2 linked regions of the Bombyx mori genome follow. The protein of the gene in region 1 purifies or fractionates together with the protein of each later gene. This does not show direct contact. Links are inferred from orthologs where the notes say so. Each region holds a gene or a part of one and is shown on either strand. Other genes may lie near its edges.

Region 1 (3,828 bases):
TCGAGATATTTCTCATACTTTACGACAAACGGACAAATCCGATATTAGTTGATCGCGCATGTGACCTCCTTATATTATATTATAAAATTATACAAAGGACAGCGACCTAGTTTCCATTACATACTTCTCCATAAAGTTTGTACTGAGGGGTTAGAACGCGTAGATGCAACGAGTCTGGTAAGCTCCCTCGTTCGGGAAGACCTCGTGCGTCGCTGTGTAGACGTGGCCGATCCCACAGACAGGTTCCGGTGTAATTAAAAAAAAAACCCAATGTTCTTTGTATGGTACAAAATTCACACAATAATACAGTAGGTGCTTGTTGAATAAAACAGTTCATTCGATTGTAACGTTATAAATGAATTTCTTAAGCGACATTTTCAGACTTGTAGGTAATTGTTAAGTGAACGCCCTGTACTCGTCGACTCGCAACACATCGGTTTATTTATTTGTTTACACAAATATTTATTATACATTTTATGGTGACTGATTGAAAAATATTACAGTTTCAATTTGTCATTATATTTTCTTTTAATCAATGCGGGAGTGAAATCGTTTCGCTTTTTGCAAGTTTAATATTGGAGACATTTAAGAGATATGTACAAATTACAAGAAATTAAACAAAATATTAATTTATGGAAATGAGAGAAGTTGCACGTCGAGTGCTGGAGGCGGGGCGGCGGCCGAGCGCGCAACTTCACGTATCGTTACATAAGCCGATATCGATAAACAGAAACCATTGTTGCGCATTTGATGGTTTTTTTTTTGTCATTTACGTAATTGCTTACTCTTGGAGCTGCGCGTTAGAACAGTTAACGAAGGAAGCATGTGGTGGCGCAGGGGTACCGCATGGAGTGTCCCCCGGGCTGCCCGGCGCCCGTCTACGAGCTCATGCGCGGCTGCTGGCAGTGGAGCCCCTCCGAGCGGCCCTCCTTCCGCGAGATACACCACGCGCTCGAGCACATGTTCCAGGACAACTCGATCACAGACGGTGAGCGCCTCGTTACGCAACATGTACTCGTACTAACAGCGAGCGGCTGCTATAGATGTCAACGGTGTGTTTCAGAAGTAGAGAAACAACTCCAAGAAGGCAGCGGCGCGCAGGCCGCCGGCACCCCGCTGCTGTCGCTGAAGAAGACGAGCGCCGACCCTCGAGCGGTGCAGATGCGGCGCCCGACCAACCGCCGCGGCAAGCAAGCCCCCACCCCTCCCAAACGCACTAGGTAGCGCACCCGACCACAAGTAACTGAACACGACCCCCGCCACTCATCGACATACTCATCGACCGCGTGTTGCAGCCTGCTGTCCTCGTGCAGCTCCTTCCGCGAGTCGCAGTACGCCGCCGACGAGCACGCGCCCGACGACGCGCCCGCCGACGCGCTCGCCGACCTCAACGGTCAGTGTCTCACGCAGCGTCACGCGCCGTCACGCACTCCAACAACCGATATAGTGCAATAGTACGCCTCCGCTGTACACGGAGGATATTCATTACGGAATGAAGCGGCCATCGCTTTGTTTGTTTTTAGGTTCCATGTTAAAACTCATACCCGGCTTACTTGACGCTATAACGTTATTCGTCTAAATGACGCACTACAAGTATACCGACGCGACCCACGCGACCCACGTGACCCACGTGACCCACGCGACCGAGGGCGACTTTGTAGTGCGGTACTTACGCACATAGCTCAAGTCTTTTTTTTATTTTTGAAGATTGAATATTTTGGCACTTTGTACGACTGCCAGTCTAGTTCACAGAATAATGGTCCTCACACTAAAAGACGCAGGTATTGTGCATAATGGTCAGTTCATTCAGAATCTTCTTGACGGCAATGTATAAATAATATTAGATGCGGTTTAACTTACATACGTTTTTTAAATTTTATATTTATTTTAAAAATTATATAATTTCTAAAATGAAATTGACAAAAAGAACAAAAATACAACAAACCGCACGCAGCTCGAGATAGGGATCAGAGACCTTCATGGAAATGTTCTTCAAATTTGTAAGAAGAGTACTCATGTTTGTTAAAAGTGTACACACCGTCAATTATGCTTTTTGTTATAATATTTTTATGTACAAAAAACTAAAGTCAAATGTCCTCAATGTCTGTACGTATTGTACCATAACTCAATCTTCGGAAGTAAGATAGAATATAAGACGAGTAGGCTCTGAGGCCGCGCGCCGGCGACACACTGCTCTAAGATACTGTTTTCTGTTTGCCGTGTCTCGGTGCAGCGGCCTAGCGCTCGGAGCCCGCGCTCTGTAAGTATTCCACGGCACCTGCTGCTCTAGCCCTATCCCTGCTTAGTGTAAGATGTAGCTCCTCACACTCGAGTCTGTGTCGGCACCGCGCCGCGACCTAGTCTGCATGCTCCGTCCGGCGTGCAGTAGGAAGGAACGAGCGCCGCCGAGCCGTCCACGGGTCGTCAACAATGAAATTTGTAGCATCGCCAACATTAACAGCCTGCTAGCTGGCATCGGCGCAGTATTTTGACGCTTAGTTTTTTAATTTTTTCATCGAACAGTCACGTATGCTCCCTGTATATTCGTACATATGTACTAAATCAATATTGAGATGTTTGATTGTGATGTGAGTAATGAGTCTAAAAGGGTTCTATACATCATTAAGGTCGTACATGACTCCATCCTGTCTGTGAAACTGAAACAACTTCGACCCGGCTGTAATCCCTCCATCCTTAAAAAAAAGACTAGGCTCTCAATGCTACGCAGGAGACAGTATCTTTGTATGCCAAAAGAAAAGTCCACTGTCTGTCTGACGCCAACAGAATAAAAAACAGATTAGATAAAACAAAAATAACCTTACTTAAAATGACAATATCTGGAAATTTTGAATATATCATTTGACACTAATAAATACATATAAACATTACTGATATTTAAGTTAGGTCCGCTTCTTGACATTGTCTCAAACTGCTGGCACAATAATAATTCACTTAACTGTAGATTATAATTCAAAATTTTAAGTTAGATACAAAATGAGGAAGCGTAGGTATATTGCAACACGGAGCTGCGTTGTTATACGCGAACATTGAGGAACCGAGAGTAAAGGATCACTCTCATCCGCTCTGTCGTTGTCACGTTGTAATTGTTATGGATACTGGTGACGCTATTTGTGACAACCTGGGCGACTTAGACTTCCCACGTGTTCTCACAGCAGTTGAAGTGAATCTACTCGGCCTACTCGCAAAGAAAAATAATAAGAAAATAAAAAACAAGTAGCAGTATGACTCACCACCAAGTGTCTGCACTGATAACCCTAATGCTATCAAACTGACTAAGTGTAGGGAGGGTGGTCTAGTCCCCGTGTGCCAGCTCGAGCAACTGGCTAACGAATCGACTACTGCGCGATAAACGCACGGTACCAACCCACTCGACTGCGCCCCGCATCCTCTGAGTCTAGCCCTCTACGTGACATTTTTTTTGTGATTTTGTCAGCTGCTTAGCAAGAACAACTTGAGTTCCGACAATGCTAATGTTAGTGGACTGCGTCGACGCTGCGAAACTGGCAAACATTGTGCATTTTTCTACAAATTTCATAGTTGACGAATAGTATTTTACTTGATCTGTTCATTTTATAGTTTTCCTGATTTGGGATAGTTTAGTTTAGATTTGGTGAAATAGTGAAGTTATAATCCTTTTTATATTTTTCCCTCAATATAAATAATTACGTGACTTGAAAATAGCATGCATTAATTTTTGTACCTACTTCCAAAGACAATAATACTTCCGGAAACTGTACATCTATTCTTCTCACTCTTTACTTTTGTCGTGCTACTGAACTAACCGCGTGCAGCCTTGTTGCAAGATTG
Region 2 (3,828 bases), on another chromosome or scaffold:
CATCACAGGTCACTGTTCTCGATTAAACCAGTTTGTTGGTGATTTTTGTATAACATTACATTTTTATATTTAAATCAGCGGTCGAGGAACCGTTGTAAATTACCCCATGGGGAAAAATGACTTTTGGGGGGGGGGGGGTGGGGGAAAAACCGAAAAAAAGTCATTAAAATTAAAAAAAGGTTTTTTATGGGGGCTATGTATAAAATTTAAAGTAGTTTTTTCGTCTAATAATACAAGACAAGTATCATATGAATTATAAAATAACAAGTAATTATCATTTACTTATATTTTCTGTGATCTTTTTTCCTCAACTGTATATTGCATAATATATTACTATTATTACCGTTATGTATTATATTACTAGGTATTACATTGATAAATTGAATAAATTATGTATAAATAATTTTTTTGTTATTGTTTTCTTTTCAAGATTATCAGGGGGGGGGGGGCTATGAAAGATACTAAAAAGAAGCGATTTGGTTTTTTTTTGTTCTTTGCCATGGGATAATATCAACGTACACAACAATATTTTGGGGTAATAATTAAAAAAGTTCTCAGACCGCTGATTTAGATGTTCATTCATGGTCTAGTCTTATACGAGATTCGAACCTCGGTACAGTGGTCGCCGTCACACAGACTGCTGTCTCGCGTCGTAACTAAACCGCGTACAGGGTGTGACTTTATGAAATATAAATCAATGTCAACGCCGTGTCAAATATTTTATGCTCTATTATAGCTACCGCCACAAACTATAAACATTGTATATTTATGTTTGTATGTGCATTTATCAGTTTGAAACTTCGTGCTCCTGGGATGTTGACCTCGTGCGTCTACAAATTAAATCCTCATTTATGCCCTGTCTACAACACAAGCCCCGCGTCATTGTGACCGGCATAATATCAACAGAAGTACTCTCTTTTTTCGTTATCGGTAACTGTTCCCTTCACCCTGCAACCCAATTACAGCATAAACACATCTTAACTGTACTAGTAAAAGTGCGGAGTCTCGCGAGCTCGCAGGGTAGCTACCATGGGGTGGAATTTAGGACCCTACCCACTAAATGACTCCCCTGCACTTGGGCTCGCGGTTTGCTCCCAACATCGTGCGTTTCCTAGGCATGGGGATCTCGTTGGAGGTTCGGCTCCCGGTCCAATAAAAAATAAGGGGTAGCTACAATCATCCTGTCTATTTCTGCTTACAAAAAACAGCGCCTTGTACTTTCTCTAGGCCATAAATGGGTAGTATGTTTGGCCTCACTCGTGCGGGCTTACAATACGTCCCACCACCGGTGTATTTGAATAAATAAAAACAATAAAACATAAAATCAATGAACAATATCAGATTTCTAGTCTTCTCATGATTTTGGGTGTTTTTGTACATAGGTTACGTAATAATGTACGCGGCCCAGAGTGCGGTGTCGGGCGGGGGGGCGGAGTGGATCGCGGTGGGGGTCACGGGGGACCGCGCCCGCGTGCGCCTGGACCGGCTGCGGCCCCGCACCACGTACAGCATCAAGCTGCAGGCCAGGAACAGCAAGGGACTGGGGCCCTTCTCGCAGACCATCACCTACACCACCGCTATGGGTACGACAACTAACTACATATTTTATATTACTTTTATTGGTCATAAAATAACATCGACCCCGGCCCCTTCGTGTCCGCGTGCAACCGGACTACTCCTGCGGACCGGGTAGTCCAGTGCGACTAGGTGCGAGAGAACGAGATAGGAGATCGATTAACGCGACCATATCGGGGAATAGTAATAACCATTGAATAACAGATAGAAGTTTATTTATTTATTACTTAGATGGGTGGACGAGCTCACAGCCCACCTGGTGTTAGATGGTTACTGGAACCCATAGATATCTACAACGTAAATGCGCTACCCACTTTGAGATATAAGTTCTAAGGTCTCAGTATAGTTACAACGGCTGCTCTACCCTTCAAATCGAAACACATTACTGCTTAACGGCAGGAATAGGCTGGTAGTTTTAGTGCGAACTCATTTAGTCAATCGTTAGTGGTACCGGCGCGGCGTCCCCGATGTGTAAGGAGGGCGGGGCGGGTCGTGTTGACGTAGCGCGTTGTGCAGAGACGGGGGAGGGCGGAGGGCTGGCGAGCGCCACGTCGGCGTGGCTGTGGGCGAGCGCGGGCGGCGCGTGCGCGGTGCTGGCCCTCGCCGCCGCGCTGGCGCTGTCGCTGTGCTGTCGCCGCTCGCAGCCGCCGCTGTCCCCGGACACCAGGTGACGCACGCACTAAACCGTTCCACGTCCTTACGGATCCAACAGATCCAATAACCTTTGCGTTCGACGCCTTCAACTCTAACACTACGAGCAGGCTTAGGGACCCCGGTAACCGTACTTGTCGAACTCCGTAAAGAGGTCGACGTGCAACCTAATCCATGAATCAGCCCGCTGAGTTTCTCGCCAGATCTTCTCAGCGAGTCGCGATTCCGACCCGATATTAGGTTCATTCGCGAAGCAGCTGCTCTTGAGTTGTTAGGTTAGGTTAGGAGGAGGTCGGAGGCGCTCGGGCAGCTGTTCAAATCCCACCCCTCCTGGCTGAGCCTTTGCTCGCCCACTTGTCCTGGTGAAACTGGAAACGCCTCTTTAAAAGCCTCCAGAGGTTTTTATCGTTGTATCCTAGTAGATTCTTATTATAAGAGTACATTGTCCATAACTTATCGACAACAGAAGAACACGTAGCCCTCCAAGGTAAGCGCTCGCCGTCGCCCATACAGCCGGGTGATGCCAGATAAACCTCGCTCGGAAAAGGACATTAAAGGATTATCTCAAACGATACATAACTCAGCGGTCCCTTCGCAGACCCAGAGGCTTCAACCTACAAACTGGACCCCAAGTACACGTCATCAACTGTTACATTATTTTGGGCAATTAAAAATGGCATGGTACATACAGAGTGATTATTTTTAAGACACACTGAGCACCCGCAGACACGGTGAGCACACGTACGTCGTCTAGGACGCGACGCCAGGGCTTCGAAGCCAGGATATTACGTATTGTTACGAATGATACATAATATTTTCCTCAACTTGTAGTACGTATCAAAAGTCTTCTGCGTCGGCCGGCATCAAGCCCCCGGACCTGTGGATCCACCACGACCAGATGGAACTTAAGCACATGGATAAGGGCATACACGCGTCCGCCAGTAAGAGTAAGTGGCTCTCATGTCAGCTCTTTATCATTGACAAACAAAAAGTTTTGTAGCAAATTATAAAATAGATCAACACCAAAGTGTAGTTTCGAGATTTTAATTAATTACATGTTTCAATATTTAAAAAAGTCTACAATTGCTTAATTAGTCTAAAAGTTTAAAAAATCACTCCACTACTCCCCCCTTCCCCCAGTCTCGTCCGACAGCGTGGAGGGCTCGCTGTCCCTGCCCCGCTCGGCGCCGCGCCCCCCCGCCCCTCCCCCCGTGGAGTACGAGCCGGCGAGGGGGCTCCCCCCTCCCTCCTCGTTGGACCGCAGACACTACGTGCCCACCTATGTCGGTAAGTTAACGTTATACTGTAAGTCCGCAACCGTCCTCAACCTTTTCAGTGTCCCGGTCTGTAAGATAGTCCACAGCTTCCCGTGCCTCGTGTCCCGGCATCTCTCTTTTTTAACATTATCTAATTTTACATTGTCATTCCTTGATAATAATTCTTTACATTAAAATTGTACTTAAAAAAAACCTGAGTTATTTTATCTGCTTCAAGTGGCTTCAACCGCTGATGTTGTCGCTTCCTTTCTGCATGTATCTCTCCCTCCGCTACTAAATATAGCGAGTGTCCGTGCGGCTCAGCACTGGCCCCCTGCATGTGACC

What was found.
Region 2: the proteins of tyrosine-protein kinase Abl (region 1) and neogenin purify together in Drosophila melanogaster (affinity purification with western blotting; 3 studies listed by BioGRID). This does not show direct contact. The link is inferred for Bombyx mori from reciprocal best matches to the Drosophila melanogaster genes Abl and fra.

What each region holds. Positions count from the first base shown.
Region 1 is NC_085107.1:86,007-89,834, reverse strand, and holds part of tyrosine-protein kinase Abl, read left to right. Parts: intron 1-837; coding exon 838-988; intron 989-1,063; coding exon 1,064-1,220; intron 1,221-1,295; coding exon 1,296-1,393; intron 1,394-3,828. UniProt on the Drosophila melanogaster protein: Arm and Abl proteins function cooperatively at adherens junctions in both the CNS and epidermis; critical for embryonic epithelial morphogenesis regulating cell shape changes and cell migration.
Region 2 is NC_085108.1:149,350-153,177, reverse strand, and holds part of neogenin, read left to right. Parts: coding exon 1-8; intron 9-1,382; coding exon 1,383-1,583; intron 1,584-2,091; coding exon 2,092-2,242; intron 2,243-3,057; coding exon 3,058-3,173; intron 3,174-3,366; coding exon 3,367-3,513; intron 3,514-3,828.